Linked DNA regions of Rattus norvegicus. The protein of the gene in region 4 binds, or shares a complex with, the protein of the main gene of each other region. Links are inferred from orthologs where the notes say so. Each region holds a gene or a part of one and is shown on either strand. Other genes may lie near its edges.

The links.
Region 1: Cul3 (region 4) and Kbtbd8 share a complex: the UniProt entries of both Homo sapiens proteins name them as parts of the BCR(KBTBD8) E3 ubiquitin ligase complex. The link is inferred for Rattus norvegicus from reciprocal best matches to the Homo sapiens genes CUL3 and KBTBD8.
Region 2: Cul3 (region 4) and Kbtbd4 share a complex: the UniProt entries of both Homo sapiens proteins name them as parts of the BCR(KBTBD4) E3 ubiquitin ligase complex. The link is inferred for Rattus norvegicus from reciprocal best matches to the Homo sapiens genes CUL3 and KBTBD4.
Region 3: the proteins of Cul3 (region 4) and Klhl3 are in contact, whole or in part, in a crystal structure (PDB 4HXI), measured with the Homo sapiens proteins. The link is inferred for Rattus norvegicus from reciprocal best matches to the Homo sapiens genes CUL3 and KLHL3. Residues at the interface, in NP_003581.1 of Homo sapiens: Ile44, Asn49, Ser50, Gly51, Leu52, Ser53, Phe54, Glu55, Leu57, Tyr58, Arg59, Tyr62, Thr63, Leu66, Lys68, Met118, Asp121, Ile122, Met124, Tyr125, Arg128, Val129, Gln133; in NP_059111.2 of Homo sapiens: Pro73, Tyr74, Ala77, Met78, Asp82, Met83, Ser84, Glu85, Glu92, Ile93, Lys94, Asp95, Pro125, Ser128, Leu129, Gln131, Met133, Arg136, Asp160, Val161, His162, Thr163, Thr165.

The regions. Positions count from the first base shown.
Region 1 is NC_086022.1:129,237,806-129,243,730, forward strand, and holds part of Kbtbd8 (kelch repeat and BTB domain-containing protein 8), read left to right. Parts: intron 1-456; coding exon 457-1,571; intron 1,572-4,591; coding exon 4,592-5,055; 3' UTR 5,056-5,925. UniProt on the Homo sapiens protein: Substrate-specific adapter of a BCR (BTB-CUL3-RBX1) E3 ubiquitin ligase complex that acts as a regulator of neural crest specification.
Region 2 is NC_086021.1:97,340,938-97,346,866, forward strand, and holds the end of Kbtbd4 (kelch repeat and BTB domain-containing protein 4), read left to right. Parts: coding exon 1-209; intron 210-1,543; coding exon 1,544-1,650; intron 1,651-3,108; coding exon 3,109-3,969; 3' UTR 3,970-4,662; downstream 4,663-5,929. Other genes in the region: Ptpmt1 (phosphatidylglycerophosphatase and protein-tyrosine phosphatase 1), read right to left, coding at 5,266-5,400. UniProt on the Homo sapiens protein: Substrate-specific adapter of a BCR (BTB-CUL3-RBX1) E3 ubiquitin ligase complex which targets CoREST corepressor complex components RCOR1, KDM1A/LSD1 and HDAC2 for proteasomal degradation.
Region 3 is NC_086035.1:6,627,829-6,633,753, reverse strand, and holds part of Klhl3 (kelch-like protein 3), read right to left. Parts: intron 4,133-5,925; coding exon 4,015-4,132; intron 3,616-4,014; coding exon 3,418-3,615; intron 1,830-3,417; coding exon 1,728-1,829; intron 1-1,727. UniProt on the Homo sapiens protein: Substrate-specific adapter of a BCR (BTB-CUL3-RBX1) E3 ubiquitin ligase complex that acts as a regulator of ion transport in the distal nephron.
Region 4 is NC_086027.1:89,114,473-89,121,008, reverse strand, and holds the start of Cul3 (cullin-3), read left to right. Parts: upstream 1-2,581; 5' UTR 2,582-2,670; coding exon 2,671-2,736; intron 2,737-2,746; exon of another isoform or gene 2,747-4,031; intron 4,032-6,536. UniProt on the Homo sapiens protein: Core component of multiple cullin-RING-based BCR (BTB-CUL3-RBX1) E3 ubiquitin-protein ligase complexes which mediate the ubiquitination and subsequent proteasomal degradation of target proteins.

The sequences.
Region 1 (5,925 bases), on a different chromosome or scaffold from region 4:
TAATTAAAAAAAAAAATCCCAGGGATGTTACTTAGGGATATGTGGGAGTCGGGGAGTTACAGAAGTACTTGAAAGAATGTGGCTTCAAAGTTTGTTTCTTCAGTCACAATTATGCAGTTACTCTGTCGATTAAGGCTATTTTCCAGCCTTGGTAGGTGAAGGACCACCACCCCAAAAGAATCCCCATAGCTTGTTGCAGAGAAAGAGACAGACGGGGGCTTCACAGGGCCCTTCCGTCAGCTGTGGTTCCCCAGGTGATTGTGAGCGTGAAGCAATCGGCCAGTGTACCGTATTTTTAGATTGTGTGTTTTTAACTCCTTTGGCATAAGATGGAATGACCCTGAAAACAGCTTCTTGGATTTAAGTCTGTGCTAGATGACCAGCTGTCAGGAGGGCTTGTATGTGTGGTGATTTCTATTTGTGTACATATAAAACATTAATCTTTCTCTTTCTTAGATCCATGTTCACTAGCGGCCTTACAGAAAGTACTCAGAAAGAAGTGCGGATCATCGGTGTTGAAGCTGAATCGATGGGTTTGGTATTGAATTATGCGTATACCTCTAGGGTTATTCTGACAGAGGCCAATGTGCAAGCCCTGTTCACTACAGCCAGCATCTTCCAGATTCCTTCCATCCAAGACCAGTGCGCCAAGTATATGATTAGTCATCTGGATCCACAGAATTCTATTGGAGTCTTTATCTTTGCTGATCATTATGGTCATCAGGAACTTGGAGATCGATCGAAAGAATACATCCGTAAAAAGTTCCTGTGTGTCACCAAAGAACAAGAGTTTCTCCAGCTGACAAAAGACCAACTCATAAGCATACTAGATAGTGATGACTTAAATGTAGACCGGGAAGAACATGTTTATGAAAGCATTATAAGGTGGTTTGAACATGAGCAGAATGAAAGAGAAGTACACCTTCCAGAAATTTTTGCCAAATGTATACGTTTTCCTCTAATGGAAGATGCATTTATTGAGAAAATTCCTCCTCGGTTTGCGCAGGCCATAGTCAAAAGCTGTGGAGAAAAGGGACCATCCAACACCAATGGCTGTACTCAGAGGCTTGGAATGACAGCTTCCGAAATGATCATATGTTTTGATGCTGCACACAAACACTCAGGAAAGAAGCAAACAGTGCCTTGTCTAGATATAGTCACAGGAAGAGTGTTTAAACTATGCAAACCACCAAATGACCTAAGAGAAGTTGGGATTCTTGTATCACCAGATAATGACATATACATTGCAGGAGGGTACAGGCCAAGCAGCAGTGAGGTGTCCATTGATCACAAAGCAGAAAATGATTTTTGGATGTATGACCATTCCACCAACCGATGGCTTTCCAAGCCATCCTTGCTTCGGGCCAGAATAGGCTGCAAACTAGTATATTGCTGTGGTAAAATGTATGCAATTGGAGGGCGTGTTTACGAAGGCGATGGACGAAACTCACTGAAGTCTGTGGAATGCTATGATAGCAGAGAGAATTGCTGGATGACTGTTTGCGCCATGCCAGTTGCAATGGAGTTTCATAATGCTGTGGAGCACAAAGAAAAAATCTACGTTTTACAGGGTAGGTAGCATAAGGATTCTTCATCAAAGGGTTATGTTTATATGGCAAGGGTGGTTTCCTTGACGATAGCAAAGCAGGCGATACTCCTAGTAGTACTTAATACTTCCTAACCATAGACTGTGCTAGAACATTCACGTAGAAAATCAAGGTCAAAAACATTTAAATTTTTAAAATATTTTTAAGTTACTGAAATGGTTGGTCCTTTGTTTTTGAGTTATGTTCAGATCTCATATAAAGTTTTTAAAAGCATAATAAGTAATAGTTTATTACTGACTACTTTGGAGCATTTTAAAATAAACAATAAGCAAAGGCTAATCACCCGGCTATTTTTGTTCTTTAATAATATAATCAAGAGACTTGGCTACAACTCTTTTATAGAACTTACTGATTGAGTTTACTGGAATTGACTGTTCATTTACCAAGGAGCTTTGTTTTTCTTCCAAGGTTTATTTTTCTTTTATATGTCTGAACATTTTGCCTGCATTTATGTCTGTGTACCAGGTGCATGCCGTGTTCACAGAGGCCAAAGGTGTTGGATCACCTGGAGCTGGAGTTATAGACAGTCGTAAACTGCCATGAGGGTTCTGGAAGCTGAACCCAGGTCCTCTGGAAGAGTAGAGCCGCAAGTGCTTTTAAACACTGAGCTCTATTTCCAGTTCTACCAGGTTTTTGTTTGTTTTGAATCTTATGTAGGCATTTTGCTTGAGTGTATGCGTATATACCACATGCATACTTGGTGACTGCAGAAGCCAAAAGAGGAGAACCCTGGAACTAGAGTCACAGATGGTGTGAGCTGTCCTGTGGATGCTGAGATTTGAACTTAAGCCCTCTAAAAGAGCAGCTAGTGCTCTTAGCTGCTCACTCACATTCCAGTGCCCACAAAGAGTTTCACTAGTTATGAAACTTTATTACAAAGGCTTGAGATTATCATCTTTAGATCTTAGCTTTTTAAAAATTGTATGTATACGAGTGTGCAGGTCAGACATTATTAACATTGGCTGTTTCTATTGTTGGCCACCTTATTTTTTGAGACAGGCTCTCACAGACACTGGAGCTTAACAATTAAGTCGACTAGCTTGCCTCCAGGTCCCTCAGGAGTCTGACTTTCTTTGCTTTTTCACTGCTGTGGTTATGTAGGTGTGCCACCGTGCCCTGCTTTTTCATGGATCCTAAAGGTCTGAACTCACATAGGTTACATTGCAAGCACCTGACCTGCTGACCCCCAGTCCCTTTACATTTTCTAAGAATATTTTAGTTGTTGGAATTTTGAATGCAGTTTAGATTATTCCAAAATTCTTATTTACTATGTTTCTTAAGGGATTATATTCACATATTTCCTTATATGACTACTTTAATAAATCAGGAACAATGTAGGTTTTCATGAAAATATACATGATTATTTTTAAGCTCTATCCCATTTTTAAAAATGATATTCTTTGCTCTAATCCTTTGACTTAAAATTTCTCAGAGAAGCCCGGATATGTTTGATTTAAGTTGCTTATTAATTTTGTAGAATTAATTAAGGTATAGTACTAATGTACTTTAGTTAAAATGAAAGCATGGTTTGGATTTATCTTTGTAAAATATAGGAATGGTTATATCTAGTGTGATGAAGTGTGAAGTGTGAAGTATGTCCCACCCCCACCCATATGTGGTACTGGCAAAAATAGTTTATAGAGATAATTTTAAGGCTCCTAATTGGAGTATGTAGGCTGTATATTAATGTAAATATTATAGCAAAACAGCAATAACTTAATACATTTATGCACCAGAGCGAATAATTTGTAGCCAGAGGTATAAGAAATGTGTAGACAACTGGGTCATATAAGATGTCTTAACTCCCATGTTCTTTATCAAGAACACCAGAATATAAGTCATAGTAGAAAGAAAAGGTAATATGCAAGCAAAGGTTAGGGCTTAAATAAAAGTGAGGTTGAAACGTCACTCTTATTAAGTATGTAATTTAATCTATAGATGAGAATGTCCTTACTTTAGAATAGTTTAAAGGGAAGCTTTACTTAGACTCTAATATTCTTTTCTAACCTACAAAACCTTCTTACATATATAACCTGGTGATAACTGTCAAAGAAGGTTATGTCTTACAGATTGAGCATTCCTAATGTAAAATGCCAAAATCTGAAATCTGAATTTTGAAATTCGAGACTTTTTTGATGTGGTTCTACATTTTATACCCAACCTTATAAGAGGTCACAGTCTAAACGCAGGCACTAAAGATACCGTAGTAATCCGTGTTTTGACATGGAGTAATCCCCAGGATATTTATGTACATGTAGATACTCTGAGATCTGCAGTACTTAGAGTGTCAAGCACTTCAGAGAGAATATTCCAGCCTGCTCTGCCTATAACTGCCTGTCTCTAGACTCTAGTCTCCATAGAGCTGTTACCTACTATCATGAGACATTATTCTGTGTTCCCATTAAGCTTCACATAGCTGCCCATACCTCTAATTCCCGCTCTTGGGAGGGTAGGGTAGGAGGATTTCAAAGTGAAGATGAGCCTGAGTTCAGGCTAGAGACCTTATCAAAAAACAAAGCAGTGTTATATCATTAGCAAGATCTTGGCAATATTCACTATTTTAATTCTTACAGACATTTTCCTATTGACAGTCTGGCTCAGTGCACACACCTTTTTATTGTCAGTTTAGAAGAGTAACTGACTATCAAGTCCATAAATTGTTTGTTGTCTTTGCTTTATAACAACATTGACATAAACACACGAGTGACCACAAGTTCAAATCTAAACAATTCCATATGCTATTTTCTAACCAAGTACCACACATGTATGTGATGTATTTTTTATGGTTAAGTTGTATGTGTTCATGTTGCCTGCCTTACTCCTCCTGGGTCATACATCCCAGTGCAGATTGGGTGTAGTATTACTGTTACTTTGTATATTCTAGGAGTCAAGAATTTGGAAGGAAAATATTGTCTTCTGAGGTTGGAATTAAAGATACAACTAAACATGAAAATGTACATAATTGTTTCCCTTTTCTTTTTTAGGAGAATTTTTCCTCTTCTATGAGCCTCAAAAAGACTACTGGGGATTTTTAACCCCCATGACTGTGCCTAGAATCCAGGGCTTAGCGGCTGTGTATAAAGACTCCATCTACTACATAGCTGGAACCTGTGGAAATCATCAGCGTGTGTTTACTGTTGAAGCCTATGATATTGAGCTAAATAAATGGACTCGAAAAAAGGACTTTCCTTGTGATCAGTCTATAAATCCATACCTTAAGCTGGTACTTTTCCAGAATAAACTTCATTTATTTGTGCGAGCTACTCAAGTGACTGTTGAAGAACATATCTTCAGAACCAGCAGGAAAAATTCTCTTTACCAGTATGATGACATCGCTGACCAGTGGATGAAAGTGTATGAGACCCCAGATCGGCTGTGGGACCTTGGCCGCCATTTTGAGTGTGCAGTGGCTAAACTCTATCCTCAGTGTCTTCAGAAAGTTCTTTAATAAATAGCAGGCCAAAGCACGTCACTGGCATCTCTCATACTAAGGAAGCTTGTTTAGGAAATGCTGTCAACATTGAAGAAAGCTAACAGTTTTGTATTCAGAAATGGGTGCTCGTAAAGATAGTGGTGTTGGGAGGGATTTGCTTTTACCTTCATGATTTTTTCATTTTAGTCAGGAAAGGTAACAAAGTGCAATTATCAGCATTTTTCCACCCCTGGCATAAAAGTATCATCCTAGAATTTTGTGATAAATAGTTGCTGAGAAACCAGGTGAATTCAAGACAACTATGCACTCTTGAAAAGCAGAGTATTCCTGGGTAGAGAAATCCAAACTGGTTAACGTGACTTTTTATTTTAAATACGGGTAACAATATGAGGCAATATCATTTATTTAGCTGTGATCTCTCTAACACAGAGAAGCACTAACTTAGATCCTCAGTCTTACTATTTATATCTATTTACATATATATTTTTGTGTGCTGTTTTCAAGTGTACGAGATTTAAATGTGCTCTGTCAGACTGAAGGAAAACTCAGTTTTCAGAACGAACTTCAGATTGTTTCATATTTCTCATGTAACTTTTAAGTTAAGCTACAAGGTTAAAGTGGCAGTTTTTCTGTCCATAACTTTTTCAAGTGCTAACACTGTCTCATTAAAATCCCAGATAGGGCTCAGATTTGCAGGTGACTGGTGCTCGTATAAGTTAATTCACGTGTCGTTAGATTGATTTAAATGGTTTATGAGTCAATGTTTCTCTTTCGGATTAGCATGCTAGTTCCATGGTTGTGGCACTTTACCTTGTGACTCCACAAGGTCTGCTATTTGTGTGATAGGATCTGGCCGATGGCCATTAGTCTAACTGGATTCAGTTT
Region 2 (5,929 bases), on a different chromosome or scaffold from region 4:
GACATCTCTCTTTGAGGAATGTTCCCGGTTTTTGGCACGCACAGTCCAAGTGGGAAACTGCCTTCAGGTGATGTGGCTTGCAGATAGGCACAGTGACCCCGAGCTCTACACTGCTGCCAAGCACTGTGCCAAGACCCACCTGGCCCAGCTGCAGAGCACAGAGGAGTTTCTCCACTTGCCCCACCATCTACTCACTGATATCATCTCAGGTAAGTTCAAGGAGGGGCTTAGCACACCCAGCTATGCCAGAGTGATGTTCAGTGGATGTTCCGGTTCGGGAGAACCCCAACTTTATGTAACTAACTGTTGTTTACATTATATTTCCCTTCCTGGTAGGGATTTTTTTTCTTTTCTTTTCTTTTTTTTTTTTTTTTTTTTGGGAGCTGGGGACCGAACCCAGGGCTTGCGCTTGCTAGGCAAGCGCTCTACCACTGAGCTAAATCCCCAACCCGCGCTGGTAGGGATTTTAGAGTGAGGTTGAGTGTTGAGAATCAGTGTAGCTACTGTCAGAGACAGGGTGCTTTACAGTAACTAAAGACTAAAATCTGCATCACTTTTCCACAAAAGGAATCAGTGCCTGATGTTCTCATCTGCCCTGTACCTTGAAAGCCTACAGGACTAATTCTTAAATAAACTGATGAAGATGGTGATGAATCAATATATCTAAAATAGCCACATGTGGTGGCCATGCCTTTAATCCCCAGCACTCAGGACCCAGAGTCAGAGGCAAGCAGATACCGGTGAGTTCCAGTACAGCCTGGTCTACAAAGTGAGTTATAGGACAGCCAGGGCTACACAACAAAACCCTGACTCAAAAAACAAAAAACAAAAAATGTAAAATAAGAAACATTTGGGTAATAATCTTAGGTAACAAGTGAGGTGGCACCGTATTTTAGATGTGAACTCCATAGCCCGATGAGTGACTACTGTGACATATTGTGTCATCGCTTCTCTTAAAAAGCCAGGCAGGGCTAGTGGTATGACTCAGTGGTAGAGTTGGGGTACATGGAACTCTGGGTCTAGTCTGAGCACTGCAGCATGGTAGTCCTGGGGCAATTTCAGATTAACGTCATATTTACGTGTGCATAAGCAGATACATATAATGGTGGTCTAATAAAATGGTTCAGGCCTCTTTTCTGAGACAGTGTCTCTTTATATAGTCCTGCCTGTGTGCATGTAACTCACTATGTAGACCAGGCTGGCCTTAAACTCACAGAAATAAGCCTGCCTCTGCCTCTGCCCTCAAGTGCTAGGATTAGAGGCATGCTCTACTACAGCCAGCTGTGGTTCCCCTTGGACCCCCTTTGAGATTGCCATTGATGAGACTGCAGAGATGGCTTGTTGCTCTTGCAATTGTTATTCTTACAGAGGACCATGGTTCAGTTCCCATCAGGAACGCCATCTTCTGACCATCGTGGATACCAGACATACATGTGGTACACAGCCATGTGCGGACAAAGCATACACACATAAAATAGTTTTTAAAAAAACCAATAAAACAGTAATATTGCCATTGACTGTGTTCTTTCTTTGGCTCTCACAGATGGGGTTCCATGTTCCCAGAACCCGACAGAGGCAATAGACGCTTGGATCAATTTCAATAAAGAAGAAAGAGAGGCTTTTGCAGAGTCACTCAGGACTAGCTTAAAGGTAAGGCACATTTTATTCTCAAGGATGGGGTGCCATAGTCTCTCTGCATTCCAGCCCTCAGTGGCCTTCTCTCTTTTGAGCAGGGGGAAATGTGTATCTTTTGGTGTACGTGTTGGGGTCAGAAGACAACATGCAGATGTCAATTCTCTCCTTCCACTATGTGGGTCACAAGGATCAAACTCAGGTCCTCAGGCTTGGGGCAAGCAGCTTTACTGCTGAACCATCTCACTAGTCCAGCCAGGCCTGGCATGAGTGTGTGTGTGTGTGTGTGTGTGTGTGTGTGTGTGTGTGTGTATGTGCGTGTGTGTGCATGCATGCAGAGGTGTGGTTATGTAGACAGTAAGCTATCAGATATTCCTCTGCCACTCTCTTCCCTATTGCCCCTGAGTCAGTGTCTCTAACTGAAGTTTACTGATGGCTAGGCTGCCTAGCCAGTCAGCACATTCCCAGGACCCATTTGTCTCTGCTCCCTCAAAGCTGGGGTTACAAGCATGTCCAACCATGCCTAACTTTTTATGTAGATGCTAGAGATTTTGTGAGAATGCTCAGGTCTTCATGCTTGTACAGAAAGTGCCCTTAGTCCCTTGGACCATCTTCCAAGCCTCTGGCCTGCTTCTTTTCATGGCCACTGATGAGTTACTAGCTTGAAGTTCCTAAGAACTGGGGAGTCAGATGTGTTTTCTGGTCCCACAAGCCGTCTGTCTGAGACCTTCAAAGTTCCTAGAGCTTTTGCCATCTTCTCTGAAAGAACTGCTTTCACTGTTGAGTTCATCAGCTCTAATAAGCTGTAGTGGCTTAAACATGAGTGCAAGTTGAGGACCAGCCTCAGCTACATAGTTAGTTCAAGGCCAGCATAGGTTACATAAGATCCTGTCTCAAAAATAAAAACAAGGGGCTGGAGAGATGGTTCAGTGGTTAAGAGCATTGACTGTTCTTCCAGAGGTCCTGAGTTCAATTCCCAGCAACCACATGGTGGCTCACAACCATCTGTAATGGGATCTGATGCCCTCTTCTGGTGTGTCTGAAGACAGTGACAGTGTACTCATATACGTTAAATAAATAAATCTTCTTTAAAAAATAAATAAATAAATATAAACAAACAAAAGCAGAGTTGACTTCAGATGCAGTTCAGTTGCTAAGATGCTTGCCTTGTGTCATGAAGTTCTGGGTTTAATTCCTAACACTGAAAACCAAAAGCAGTAAGAGCAGATGTGGTGCATCCTATAATCCCCCTTGGAGGCTGATGCAGGAGAATCTAAGCATGAACAGTTTGTTCTACATAGCAAGATCTTATTTGAATAAATATATAAATAAATTAAATTGCAAAGATGAACAAAACAGATTCTCTGCCCCTGAAAATCAAGGGATAGTCAGGATGTGAGGCCTGGACCTCTAAGGATACCTGTGTTAGTAGAGTCTTCACATGAGCTGACATCAGAATTTCAATTTTGCCAACAGGAAATTGGGGAGAATGTGCACATTTACCTTATTGGGAAAGAGTCATCTCGAACCCACTCATTGGCTGTGTCCTTGCACTGTGCAGAAGATGACTCCATCAGTGTAAGTGGCCAAAACAGCTTGTGCCACCAGATCACTGCAGCCTGCAAGCATGGTGGCGACTTGTATGTAGTGGGAGGGTCCATCCCACGACGCATGTGGAAATGTAACAATGCCACTGTTGATTGGGAGTGGTGTGCTCCTTTGCCCCGGGACCGCCTCCAGCATACCCTGGTATCTGTGCCTGGGAAGGATGCCATATATTCCCTGGGTGGCAAGACACTGCAGGATACCCTTTCGAATGCAGTCATCTACTATCGGGTAGGTGATAACGTGTGGACAGAGACAACTCAGTTAGAGGTGGCTGTATCTGGGGCCGCTGGTGCCAACCTCAATGGAATCATCTACTTACTAGGGGGTGAGGAGAATGATCTAGACTTCTTTACCAAACCTTCCCGACTTATCCAGTGCTTTGACACAGAAACTGACAAGTGCCATGTGAAGCCCTATGTACTACCCTTTGCAGGCCGGATGCACGCAGCAGTGCATAAGGATCTGGTGTTCATTGTGGCTGAGGGGGACTCTCTAGTGTGCTATAATCCCCTTCTAGACAGCTTTACCCGGCTCTGTCTTCCTGAGGCCTGGAGCTCTGCCCCATCCCTCTGGAAGATTGCCAGCTGTAATGGAAGCATCTACGTCTTCAGGGACCGATATAAGAAGGGAGATGCCAACACCTATAAGCTCGACCCTGCCACTTCAGCTGTAACTGTCACAAGAGGCATTAAGGTGCTGCTTACCAACTTGCAGTTTGTGTTGGCCTAAAACACTGATGAGAAGAACAGCTGACTCCTTTGCCCTCCCCTCGTCATGTATCCCCAGTCAAATCTGAAATCCCCCAGTTCAGAGTAATGTGTTAGTTTGGGCATACAGGAGGAAGGCAGCGAGCGCCTCAGCCCACCCCAAGGCTCATGGGGTGCTATGTGTAGGGCTTTTCATTCTACTGCTGCTTGAACTCTGCCATTATCCCCTGTGATCCTGTGCCTCACTTCAGACTGCTTAGAGCCAGCCTCTTCTCAGACTTAGGCACAGCCCCCCTTACCAGATCAGTGTTAAAAAGAAGCACCTTGGGTCCCATGCAGGAAGACAGGCCCGTTCCTTTTGTCTATAGCCAGCAGAGTGGCGAGTTGTCACTGCTCCACAGAGAATTAAGTATGAGAGTTTCCCTTCAGGATTTGGATGGGACAGTGGACTAAGCTAAAACTGTACTTCACCAGCAAGAATCAACTGTACAATTCAGGATGTCCTTCAGATGTTTCCTCATCTGTCAGGAAAAGAAACTTTGGTTGGATTTTTGGCTTATACAGACAGATAAGCCAGAAAGTAGAAACAATTGTTTCTGATTAATAGCAGAAACTGTATTCTAAACTCAAATATAAACAGTCTCTGGTCTTTTAAAGGCTCTAAGCTAAATAAAGAGTTAGGAACTGTTCATACAAATAAAAGCTTTTGAAATGATATGTGTGTCTGTGTTGATTCCTGAATGGGTGGCTTCTGAAGGGAAACTAATTGTAGACTTCTTCCTTCCTGACTCAGTAATCCTGCCAGCACCCCATATATCCTTTAACATTCTGATCACTGCCCCAGAAGTGTGAGGGGAGTCCCACAGGACCAGGGAAGTAAGATTATTTTTATTTTTATTTTTGGAACTGCTAGGGACCAAATTCGAGACCTTATACATGCTGGGCAAGCATTTTGCCAAGTCATACAATTAAAATTTGGATCTGACAGTAACAAAGAACAGATCTATGCTCTTCTTCCCTTTTCTAGCATTAAATGCTTTGCTTTACATCACATATACCAGAAACACAATAGATTTCTGTTAAAGTTAGTATTCCTTATCTCTGTCAAAGAAAATAAGATTTCGCCAGACAATCTTGTTCTCTGTGGCCATCCAAGTGTTATTTCAGGAAGGAAGGCAAAGGAGGGACATTATACTCAGCACATTTGCAGTGGTGGTGGCTTAAGCGCTTTGTCCTTTAACATGTTACTGTATCTCGGAGAGCCAAGTTCTTTGTCATCCACAGACTTCATACTCATGTCAGCACAAGAGACCAGTAGTTAGTTCTTTGCTGCCCTTGCAGCAATCTCCTTGTGGAACTCTTTGAGAATTTCCAACTGGCTGGGCCTGATGGAGATGTGTGACCGGATTTTGGCGATAGCTTCTATAGCCTCCTCTGGGCTCCAGTTGTGTACCTGAAGTACAAGGTTAGAAGATCAGCCAAGAGAAGGAGGAGCAGTTATACAACGCCCTTGGCCTATGAGCAGGTGCTAAAGGACTCTCAGAATTAATCTTTAAAAAGATTCGGGCTGGCAAGGTAGCTCAGTGGGTACAGGAACTTTCTGCCAAGCTTGACAACTATGACCAAGAGTCCCAGGAATTCACATGGTAAAAAGAGAGAACTCCTGCAAGTTGTCTTCTGATTTCCAGTGAGTGCCACGGCACAGACATGACCACATGCACTTGCACATATAAATTAAGTAATGTGTAATCAATTTTCTTCAAGTAAATGAAGATTCCATAGTAGAGGGATTTGAAAATCATGTTCCAGCTGGGCTAAAAGGTACAGGCCTGTAAGCCCAGTTACTCAGGAAGTTGAGGCAGGAGGACCACAACTTCAAAGCTTGTCTGAGTTATAGTTCAAAGCCAGCCTAGCTGACTTACTGAAACCATGTTTAGTAAAAAGAATGCCCAGGATATAGCTCAATGGTAGAGCATTTGGTT
Region 3 (5,925 bases), on a different chromosome or scaffold from region 4:
CACAATTACACTGTTAGCTTCTCAGGTCCAAAACGGCGCTGTACCATCAAGTAATTCTATATTGCTGAGCTGCATTTTTCTCCAAGTCTTTTTTTCAGGTGACCTTTCTGGAAAAGAACTCCTGCACAGCTCCTCCCTCACAAGGTCAAATCACACAAACAAATTCACCTAGGCCGCTCTCCCCTCGCGTGCCAGCTCAGGTGGTTCCCATTTTTAGGAGAGTTCTGCGACTCTCCCTCTGCTCTGTTGAGCATTTCTGTCCACGCTCCAACCCACATCATAGCTTGCCCTTACGAGGGATTCTTCTAGGTGGCAATGAGCAAATTATCCCCTAGTGGTTCAGGGTCATTCAGACTGCATGACCTTGGCAAGGAGAGGGCGTGCCGGGAGAAGGAACTGTGCAGAAAAAATCTGAGTCCTCGGCAGTTACAAAGCACAGTCCACTCCAGTGCCTCCTACACGTTCTTAGAAACATTTTCTGCTCTCTTGAGGCAGCACACACAGCCCACAGGGTGTCAGGTGCTTTCCTCCCGGCTTCCCTCTACGTCTGCGGGGCAAGCCATTTGCCTGCACTTCCGCGACTGACACTGACACAGCCCCTGTCGTGGGCAGTGTTTTCAATTTCTACCATCAAGACACCTTCGCTAACCATTCCCGTCAACCATTCCAACCTGGTATCGGCTAAGCAGCCACTCAAGGTCTCTCCCTGAGTGTATGCGCAAGCGTCTGCTGTTTTTAACCCTGGGTCTGTTTGCCGTTCCTGCCTGAGGAACAAGAAGGGAAATGAGAAGCTAGCTAGACAAAGCTCTCGGATCTGGCTGGCAAATCAATGTCTGCCTCGTCAAGAGGATACAATTTGTCCGGATAGAGGGACGGAATCCTGGCCTCTGCATGGGTACTGAGCCCACAGCTCCTACCTATCAGCAATTGAGACCCGTCTCCGGATCCAGATTAGGAGTCAGAAGACCTTCAGGACTGCTCTGCTATTTACTATCATGATACAAGGACTCCATCCTCTGAGTTCTTCCGGAGGGTTTGAAAGAATAAGAGAAAGATGTTTTAAGAACGTCTGGCTAAGCCTCCGATCTGGCCACACCCTCCTGCCTAAGCCACACCCTCCTGTCTAGGCCACACCCTCCTGCCTCGGCCACACCATCCTGCCTAAGCCACACCCTCCTGTCTAGGCCACACCCTCCTGCCCCGGCCACACCCTCCTGCTTAGGCCACACCCTCCTGCTTAGACCACACCCGACACCTAGCCTATCCCGAGACATGTCAGACCTGAAAAAGAAGCAGCCCGTCTTTCTCATGACCCCGCTAGCATGCAACACATGAAGGTGAGCAGAGTGTTAGCCAAGCATAATTATCACCCCTCCCTGCTACACTGTGCCCCAGTTTGTGTGTGTCGACTCTGGGCTCCCTACTTATTTCCCATTCCCCACAGTTAGCAGAGATACTTACAGAGGTGCCCAAGGGACAAGTTCTCACTTCCCCCCAAGTCTCCTCTTTCTCCCCCAACCTGCTAACCCCTTCTTAGCATTGGCCCAGGAGCATTCCCACCAAGTCTCGGCCCTCCTTGTCTGTTTACTAGAGACAAGGAACTTAACTCCGGCCAGTGACCTGAGGAGTGGAGTCACAGTAGAGGGAGCATCAAGCAAAATGCTGTACTCAGGACAAGACCCACGGGCTAGGGCAGGAGCAGCCACCACCCTCTGCGACCTCCTTACCCTCCACGACACCCACTCCCACGCTGCTCCGCCTCGTGTTCATTGGGGCCACGAAGAACCACTCATTGGTCTTGTAGCTGTAGGCTTCTACGGATGCCAGCCCTGGGGAGAAGAGAATCATGGGATTTCTATAGCCGCAGACCTCACCCTGACGTGTAAGGGACGGTGAGACTGGGAAGAGACCAAGACAGGGCTACAGACTTGATATCCAGCGTGGTACACCTCTGCCTAGCATGTGGCCACAGTAACTCCTCAATCTACGTAAGGTGAACACTGACCACCAAGACATGGCATGCAGGGAAGCGGGCAAGATGGGAGGGGTCCATCCCAACTCTGCCGTAGATGTGAACCATTAAACTTTCAGAGTGGAACGTTTGTAAGACCCGAAACAAATACCTGAGGATGCCCCACCGGGCACCGGTCCCGACCTCCCTTCTATGTCTTCTATTTTACAAGCTGGATGACTAAAAATATATCTCCCACGATGCCATGCAGCTAGGTGACCCTGAGCCCTTGGCAGAAGTCTGATGGAGATTTCTAGGATGCCCTCGGCATCTCCGATGCAGGGGTGACCCTTCCTGTTTCTTGCTACCAGGGACACAGATGTCCTGGCTGGAGTCGTAACAACTATAGGGTTATCACGGGGGAAGCCAAGAGAATCTTATGGAATTTGGCCCCAGTATCTGTGCGCAGTCAGACCAAATTGGGGACAGTGACCTCTGAACTCCATGCCTCCTCTCTGGAGCAGTGCAGCAGTCGGGCAGGTTTTCTCCTCAGCGGGAGAAGTCCTGCTGCAACAACCATCTGTGTCCTTCCTAGCTCATGCTCACTGAGGAGCCGTCAGAGAGACGTTCAGTAGAGAAAAACAGACAAACAAACAAAAAAACACTGCGTTTACCGCCCTCAGAGCCAGAGACTCCACTGTGGATGTAGTCGCTGTCTTCTGTAACCTGCCTGGCAATGTGAGCACAGATGGCCTCTCTCCAAACTCATACCCACTAACCCTTCAAGTTGAAATGTTTAAAATTATTTTATGTGTGTTGAGCGTTTTCCCTGCATGTATGTCTGTGCACTACGTATGTGTGGTGTCCATGGAGGCCAGAAGAGGGCATCGGATACTCTGGGACTGGGATTACAGATGCTTGTAGGCTCCCACGGGGATGCTCGGAAATGAACCTGGGACCTAAGGAAGACGAGCCAATGCATGTGTTCTCTCTCTCTCTCTCTCTCTCTCTCTCTCTCTCTCTCTCTCTCTCTCTCTCTCTCCCTCCCTCCCTCCCTCCCTCCCTCCCTCCTCCCTCCCTCCTTCTGTCTCCTTCCCTCCCTCTCCCTCTCTCTAGACCCCAGGTTGAAAATTTGAAGTGAGATAAACTGTGGGAGCGAGGGGCCCCTGCACTGCTCTGTGGGACAGTAGAAAGGATGATGGCGGGGCTGGGGATTTAGCTCAGTGGTAGAGCGCTTACCTAGGAAGCGCAAGGCCCTGGGTTCGGTCCCCAGCTCCGAAAAAAAAAAAAAGAACCAAAAAAAAAAAAAAGAAAGAAAGAAAGGATGATGGCCTATCGGGGTACGGTGCATGCTCTGAGACAAGCACCTCAATCCCTGATCTTAAAGTCGCTCAGCTGCTCAGTAAAATGCTCAGACTAGCAAGGTTGCCCAGAGAAGTGGTTAGGGCAACAGGTCCTGGTCTTACCCGTACTGCCGTCGAAGCCTCCAACCGCGTAGAGAAGGTCATTGAGCACGGCCGCGCCCAATGTGCTCCGGCGCTCCTGCATGCTGGCAATGGATGTCCACTGGTCCTTCACACCGTCGTACACATCCACTGTCCGCACCCGAAGGGAGCCGTTAAACCCGCCCACGGCATACACGTGGCCTGCCATGAACACCACACCTGAGACACAGGAACATAGGGCGTGAGAGTCGGGGACGGGGATGACCGCCCAACCTGATGGGTGACAAGGTGGGCATAGGACGGGCTCCCGGGGAGGCCGCCGCCGGCTTGAAATACCCGAGAGTGACTATGGGACTCATCTCCTCCCAATTTGTCTCTCTAACTTTACCTGGTTTGTGCAAATTCCAGAATCGGCTCAAACTCACGAGTGCATAAGAACTGACCTCAATGCAAGCAGCACCTCGGTGCCAGCGAGAAGGGGTGGGGGTGGGGTGGGGTCTGCAGAGATAAGGAGCAAGGCTTCATAGCCATCACGAGGCACAGCCATCACTGGGCACACACCAGCTGGGGACGGGCTGCAGGGAGCCCAGGTGAGTCGGGGCTGGCCAGGGCTCGTACCTGCTCTGCATCTTCTGGAGGGAAGCTCGGCTATCTGGTCCCAGCGGCCCTCCTCAAAATCATAGCACTCCACGCTGCGGATCGCCTTGGGTGCCTGGCCACCAACCACAATCATGACCTCAGGAGAGACAAGTGCACATTAACTAACACGCATGGGAATGATGGCCAATCCGATCTGTAGCCCTTCCGTGTGCTGCCAGACAGGAAGAGGAAGCATGGGATGGTTAGTATATGCTCAGCCAAGGGAGGGGCACTATTGGGGGGTGTGGCCCGGTTGAAGTGGGTGTGGCTCGGTTGAAGTGGGTGTGGCTCTGTTGGCGTAGGTGTGGCCTTTTGTTGACATGGGTGTGGCCTTTGTGGTGGGTGTGGCCTTGTTGGGGTGGGTGTGGCCTTGTTGGGTGGGTGTGGCCTTGTTAGGGTAGGCGTGTCACTGTGGGTGTGGGCTTGGAAACCCTGGTCAGCTGCCTGGAAGTCAGTATTCTCCTCACAACCTTCAGATGCAGATGTAGAACTCTCAGCTCTTCCTGCACCATGCCTGCCTGGATGCTGCCATGCTCCCGCCTTGATGATAATGGACTGAACCTCTGAACCTGTGAGCCAGCCCCAATGAAATGTTGTCCTTATAAGACTTGCCTTTGGTCATGGTGTCTGTTCACAGCAGCAAAACCCTATGACTAGGGGATGGGGACGGGTGGGTACAAATTCAAGAAAAGCCTGCACACCAAGTAAAGTACAAACATAGGCCCACACCTTCCAGACACCCAACGTGGGATACTGTAGTAACAAAAACATCTACAAGCTCAGTACCCATATGGGGGTGGGGCACGATTTTTATACTGAGGCAAGCAAACATATTTGGGGTAGAAAGCACAGACTTTTAGATTTTTTTAAGAATGATATAATGGCACAAAACATTTCTAAGCATCTGGACTGCAGAGGATACCTATCACCTATGGTAAGGAAAAGGTAATTTCTAAACACTGTGGTGGTTTTGGTGGCTGTCAGAGTTACTTAGCTGACAGCGCTCTGAAAAGAAATGATACATACAGTATGGGGTTTTTTTTCCTCTCCTACAAGTAAGGCTGTGGCTGACACAGCCAGGCATGTGATGTGGGCTGTCATTTGCTCGTCACTGTGACTGACAGATGAGGAATGTAAAGTCCAGAAACCACATCTAAATGGCCAGAGGTCACTCAGCGACGGGAGGCAGAGCAGATAGGGAGCCCAAGCCTGCTGACATGGACGTGAGGCTGACTCCGCTCCTCTCCTTGTTCTAGACACTAACTGGGGTCCGTGTCAACACCGCCCACTGCAGGCTGCGCTTCATTAAGGAAGTCATGAAATCGACCTGGTGGGTTGTGACCAGAAACATCAAACTGAACAGTACGGGGAATACACAGTCTGAGTATTATCCTATGAAATATTTGTCCTGGTTGAACACACTTAAATGTCTATTTTTGGATAGCAGTTTGTGTGCATTTCTTGCCACCGGGTGTGGCCAAATCAGAACAAAGCCATTTTTTCTGGCTATGTTAATGAACTGCCGGACTTACTTGTGGCATCTGCACCCTCAGAACTATCCTACATGCTATTATAAACAAGAACAAAAGGGCCAAAGCTAACCACAGTCTGCATATTTTGATAAACTTGGGCAAACTTGAGCTGACCCATTGTTACCCCTTCCTGGCAGTTCGACACCCTTCTATTTATTTATTTATTTATTTATTTATTTATTATACAGGAGTACACTGTAGCTGTCCTCAGACACACCAGAAGAGGGCATCGGATCCCATGACAGATGGTTGTGAGCCACCATATGGTTGCTGGGAATTGAACTCAGGACCTCTGGAAGAGCAGTCCGTGCTCTTAACCGCTGAGCTGTCTCCCCAGCCCCTTTGACACCCTTCTTAA
Region 4 (6,536 bases):
GCTCCATTCAGCTTGGGTTTGTGGTTCCTAATTGTGAGATATAGAAAAGGACTTTTATGCTCTATGATGGTGGGGCCCAACTCATTCATGCACTCTAGTACTTCACATGTATAGTAGCAACTTAGTAAATATTTGAACAACTGAATGAATGAACAAATAAATCAGCAAATTTCTCAATAATATTAATTCTGAAAAATTTTTGTAGTTTTTTTGGTGGTTAAAAAGTCTAAGAGTTGACAGTGATTCTTTTAAATGCCCCTAAATTTTGCTTAAGTAACGCAAACATGGAAATCTGTGTTTGTAGAGCAAATGAAAGTGGTCACATAGTTACGAGTGAATAGATAGGTCATAAGGTAGTTAACTCCTCTAGGTTTTGGTTGTTTCCCCAAGTTCATGGAAAAATGAGAAAGATTAGGGCAATGTGCTATTTTTCATAAGGCTAAACCTCTCAATGTAGAATAGTAGTTTTTGTTATTTTTTTTAAATTGCAAATAAAAACACCACCTTCATCAGACTCGATGATCTTCGAACTTGGCATTTAGAGGGGAAGCTGTGCAGCTTCACATTAAAATCTTACACTTTTATCCCACGACAGAATTATAACTAAAAATAAGACTTTTATCCTTCTTCATAACTTGTGTGCATTCAGTCCTTCCATATCCAGTGTTGCTTCCTTCTCCATACCCACATGCACATTTGACTGCATATTACAAATACTATTGGCTTTATTCTCATGAGAGAGAACATGCAGTTTCTTTTTTTCAGGGAAAGTTATACAGTTGATAAAGTGGCAGAGCTTAGATTAAAGCCAAAGGCTCAAAAAATGTATTTTTTAATAAGAGTCATGTGACAGGACAGCCAATAGAAAAAGGTTTCAATATTCTGATAATTATGGAAATGACGATCAGGTAGCATACTAGTTATAAACACCTATGCATCACTTACTCATCAGAGTCCTTCCTTGTTTTACTTAACTCATTCTTGATGCTTTATTTTTAGCTTAGCAAAAGCAACATTCTCCTTAAGCTTGTTTTAAATATTAAACGTTTTTGCTTTAAGTTTATTTTTCAAAGGGGCACTTCAACCAGCGAGAGCCCAAATGCATAACTCTGTAAGCTTAGACATTACAAATAATTTAGGGTCAATTCAACCATAAGTAAACAAGCTTTATCGAGTTTTCCATTTTTTATTTAGAGCTCAGCTTTCAAATATGGCTGTTAATCTTAACAACAGTTCATTCAAAATGGGAAGATCGGAAACTTTGGGAGAATCTCAGATTTCCCAGCGTCGTTGGAAACAGCAATTGAGCAAGTAGGTAAATCAGAAGTAGGATTCATTCTGAATTAGAAGCAAAAGGCAGTAGAATTGGACATTTCGACTATAGGATGATAAAAGAGGTCCCGAACAAATAAAAAATGTCTCCAAACCTACAGCAAGCTTAATGCCACGGTGATTTTGGTTTTAATGATATATACTGCTCTTGGAAATGGTCATATGTTTAACACAAATATTGTGGTACATCAGGCACTTGTTTTATTTCAATTCAAACAAAAACCGGGTTTTAACATTAGTGGGCTCTGGATTCTCCAGAAAGTACCAACTAATCAACAAGCCCCGGAGCTTGCGCAGTGTAAGAAAGCCGGGTTGACTCAATACTGAGGCGTTGCAACACCTAGCTAAATACAGGACACTGGTTTCATAGACTGCAGGTAACTCAGGCACAAACACTGCTTTCAGGTTTCTGGCGGGGATCAAGTACCCATCCCTAGGCCACGTGCCCTAGAAAAACACAGGAACAGTTCTAGGACATAGGAGCCTTCCTACTCGCACCCCACACCCTTTCCCCTGACTACCTGCAATCCGCTCGGGCCAAGCTCAGCCCCGCCAGCCCACAACAGAGCACTCCCCACTTCCCATTCGGAACTTCCCCCGCCCACTGCCCACGTGACACCTCACCTTCGCGCTCCACCAATCAGAAGCCACCTCCGCCTACCAGGGTCTCCGACGCTCCTCTTTTGAAAACGCAGCCTACGCCTCCTGCCCCAGGCCCCGCCCCCAGGGCGCTGACTACGCCCATTCCTAACTCCCCCCACCCCCCCTACTTCTCCCCGCGCCCTCCCTTCCCGGGCTTCGCCCCGCCCCGCCCCCGGCCTTGCGCCCGCCCTGATCTCGCGAGATCGGACGTGCCCGCCGCGGCCTCCCGCCTCCCCTCCCGTCCTCCCGCCCCCTCCCCCCATCTCTCCACTCTCCGCTCTCCTCCCTCCCTCCTCCCCCCTCCACCCTCTGGGCCGGATCTCGTCTCGCTGAGGCGGAGGAGGAGAAGGAGGAGGAGGAGGACGTTCGGCCTGCGCAGTGAGATGTTTGTCCGTCGCCGCCGCCGCCGCCATCGCGGAGGAGCGCGATAAAGGGAGCCGAGCCCGGCGCGAGGGGAAGCCCGCGGAGCCGCCGCGCCAGCGCAGCCCCCGGCCGAGCCCGAGCCGCCCGAGCCCGAGCCGCCGCCCCCGCCGCCGCGGCCGCCCAGGGGCCGGCCCGCCGCCCAGCCCAGCCCGGGGGCCGCGCCGCCGCCCCCCGCCGAGCCCCGCGGCCGCCCTCCCGCCTTCAATGTGACACCGGCGCCTCGGAGTGCGAGCCGCAGCCGCCGCCGCCGCCGCCGGGGAGGGGCCGAGCACCATGTCGAATCTGAGCAAAGGCACGGGCAGCCGGAAGGACACCAAGATGCGGATCCGGGCCTTTCCGGTGAGTCGGTCCTCGGCGCCCGGGATCCGGAGCCGCGGCCGGGAGCCGCACGCGAGGCCGGGGCTGAACTCCGCCAACAGGCCGCAGCCGGCCTCCCCTCCCCCACGGCCGCCGCCGGTGGCGGGGCGCGAGCCTTCCCGGCAACGGGGCGGCGCGGGGCCGGCGCGGCTACCTCCCGGGCCGTTCCCCGCGCCCCGGCCGCCTCGGGGCCTCCTTCGCGCCGGCCTCGGTGCCGCGGCCCTGAGGGGATGCGCGCTGCCGCCGCCGCACCCCTCGCGTGGGGCGTGTGTGTAACTTTTAGCGTGCGGTTTCCAGAAGGACCCGGCTTGGCTTTTACGGTGGTGGGGAAGGATCGTCCACCTCCGCCCGACTCCTTAGTCAGGAGCGGTCTTGCCATCCGACTGCCCCACTCACTGACAGAGATGCCACGAAATACCCACTGGCAAAACACTACTAGCAGCGAGCATAGTATTTATAGCATCTTTGATCCTGCAAGCCTCCTAAGGACTTGACCCACTCGGGTTCAGAATCGTCCCTCCACTCTTTGAAGGGCCAGGCACAGAAGGAGCTCTTGCTTTTCCGTGTCTTAGCCAAGGAAGTCCCCAAGAATAGTTGCCACTCAGACTTGTTTTACCTTGTACGTCTTTAGCGACAGCAAACGTTTTCTCTTCAGAAACTTTTCGTCTTGGCGTTACGTTGAGTCATAGGCTTGCGGTGTTTAGTAGATGGAGTGTATGTAACTTTGGATGTCTTGCCTCGATCAGATAGCCAGTGGCAGGCAATTAAAACGTCCTGTTGTAACAAACTGGACGTACTTGCTCATGTCGCTACAGTAACAGGTAAAAGTCAAATAGACAAACCAGCAGTGGAGCAGATTTTTAAAAGTAAAACTGGAGGAAGTTGTTTTCCCCATCAAAGGCTCATAAGCATTCTGTCCTGTGGGAGGGAAAGGGGGCCTTTGTCATCACTTTTTGAGCAGGCTTTTCCTGAAGTACCCTTTGCTGTGAGGAAAGGAAAGACCACGAGTTAAGTAACTTTGACCTGGAGAACTTGAGGGCCTCTGAATTCCTCATACCAAAGAAGTTACAACCGATGCAAAATTGTGGCTTTGCAAGGGACATAGTGTCAGCGTGTAGAAACTTGCACCTTAATGTAAATAAATGGGCTCTATGTAAACATGTAGGGCATAATTGGGTGAATGAGGTATTTTGATATTAGTTGCATTATGAGTGATTTTTCTAAATAAGAGATTACATCAGAAAGTGAGAAATGCCGGAAAAACAGCGCTAATAAAGGTAACTATTATGTTTTCCTTTGTAATTGGACAGTGAGCCAGGTTTATGAGCTTAATTTCCCTACTGAATCAACCACCCAAGTGATTGTCAAATCCGAATCCTTCCCTCTTTTTTTTTTTTTTTATAGCAGAATTCAGACTTAGTTGGGATTTTGTTTTGTCTTGTTTTTTGCCTTTTTTTTTTTTAAGTCAACAGTGACACTGATTTTTCTAGGAAATGTTTGCTCTTGGTTCTGTTGTTTCTTGGAGTCTTTGTTGTTGGGTAAAAAGTGAAAGAGCTTATATTTGGCCAGTTAATATTTTTCAGAGTAACCAGTTCTACCTTTATCTGTGTTTGCAACTCTTTGATCTCTAGATTTCTCTACTTGAACCTGTAGAGAAATCATCATTGGTCCAAGATATACTGAGTACTGTATGCAGTACTATTTATTCCTAGAGCTTTAGGACTTAGCAGTAGATGTGAAAAAGGAAAAGATCAGTGTTTTCTGGAGCTAGCATTGGGGATTAGAAGCAGGAAGAGAATTTTGTATCATTAGCTGAAGATGGTAATAGTGTGTGATAAGCTAGTATTGAAACTGAGATTTTGTTTTGTTTTTTGTTTGTTTTCTAGTTCGTAAGTAAATAACCATAGGTTGTTCCCGTTGAAAATAATCAGCCATGGTTGAGGCTAGATAATGCCCCAGTGATACTTCATTGAGTTCTGGGAAGTGCATCCTTAGGCTGTCAGGATTTCTTTCATTCAGATTAGATGTCTTGTATATAGTAAGTACAGCCCACATGGACTCTTAGAAGTTGTAAGTATGTGGTATTTCACACACAGAAATACATACCATTATTTGCTTATACATATATGTTCTTACAACTGGTATATGTTGTACCATGTGAATATGTTGTTACCCATAGTTTATGGCAGACTGTAAACTAATCAAGTTTCAGTTGCTCATTTCAGGTTTTTTACAAAATGGATGTGTAAAAGGAATGAAATAAGTTTAGACTTGTTGGTTTTCACTGTACAACAGTGGTAAGTTAACTTACAGGATATATTTCATAAATAGATGAGTACTTTTGATAAAAGTTACCATATAAATCAGGGTCTTTACTTTTTTTCCTTACATTTTTAGTGGATATTTTAAGCTTGCTGTCACATTATTAAGCAGAGTAAAAGTTACACCGTATTAACTTAGAATTAATACAGTTTTTTTCCTGCCCCCTCAATTTAAGTAAATCTACAAAATTTATTTAAAATAATTAATTTCTGTATTTTTAATTGTTGACAGAAAAAAGTTAATCTCTTAATTTTTAGACTTCCCTTCATTATGTAGAGTATTGCTTATTATACATCTTTTTGTTGGTAATTTTTTAAAAAGTTTTTTTTAAATTATGTGTGTTCAGTTGTGCATATGAATACAGGTGCCTGCAGAGGGCAGTGGGGTCAGATACCCTGGAGCTGGAATTAAAGACCCTTGTGAGCTACCCATTCCAGTCCTGGGAACCAAAGTTCTGGCCCTCTTCATGAGCAGGGGACACTTTTAAGTGCTGGAACTGAGAAGGTTATTAAGAAAGGAGGTTGTGTATGGATTTGAGCCAAGTAATTCCTTTGGGAGAGATACTTTCCTCACTGTTACCATGTGTCCTTTTTTTTTTTTTTTCTTCCTTTTTTGCGGAGCTGGGGACCGAACCCAGGGCCTGAGCTAAATCCCCAACCCCACCATGTGTCTTAAGTCATGCATTCTTAGCTCTGTATAGTCTGTTGGGTTAACATTTTTCTGAAAAGCCATTCCTCAATGCATTGTCCAGAATTTTTGTTCCTGTGGGCTTTTAACAGGCTTGCTTGGAATTGGAGATGTGATTATTGAATGAAAATGTTATCCTTAGATTTAGGAGACACTGTGAAAATCACTTCTACTTTGTGACCTTTTTCTTAAAACTGCTACCATGAGTCCTGGAAGTAATGTCAGTTAATATTATAAAGCTTATAACAGGGACAGGGACAACTCTTGATGTAATCTCCATGATTGTAGATGAATTTCACCTGTGCAACATGGTCAGCAAATGGTGCCCACAAAATGACAGAAAAGTTAAGATGTTTTGTGACAGTCATTAGAGCATGAAGAGATAAGGGCTTGGGTATATAGTTGATGTCTTTTTCTTATATTTCTATCTACATAAGTATTTGCCAGATTTAAGGGACATCTTTGATCTTCCTGATAGTTTTTTTTCCTCCTAGAGAAGGTACTTGGTACAGAAAACTATCTAAACTGTATATATAGTAGAATAACAGTTTTATTTACACAAAGCCAGGAATTAATTGTTAATCTGTTTTCATTCTCTGTTACTTAATTATGGAGGAAGGTGTATCAAAATGTTATACTGAGACTGTAAGTGCTTTCTGCTTAATAGTTTTGGGACAGTGTTTATAGTTAGCAGTTAGTGCTTCCTTGCTTTAGAAATTAAAAAGCAAAAGAGAAAAAGAAAATAAAAAGAAACATTACTTTTCATCTTTAAA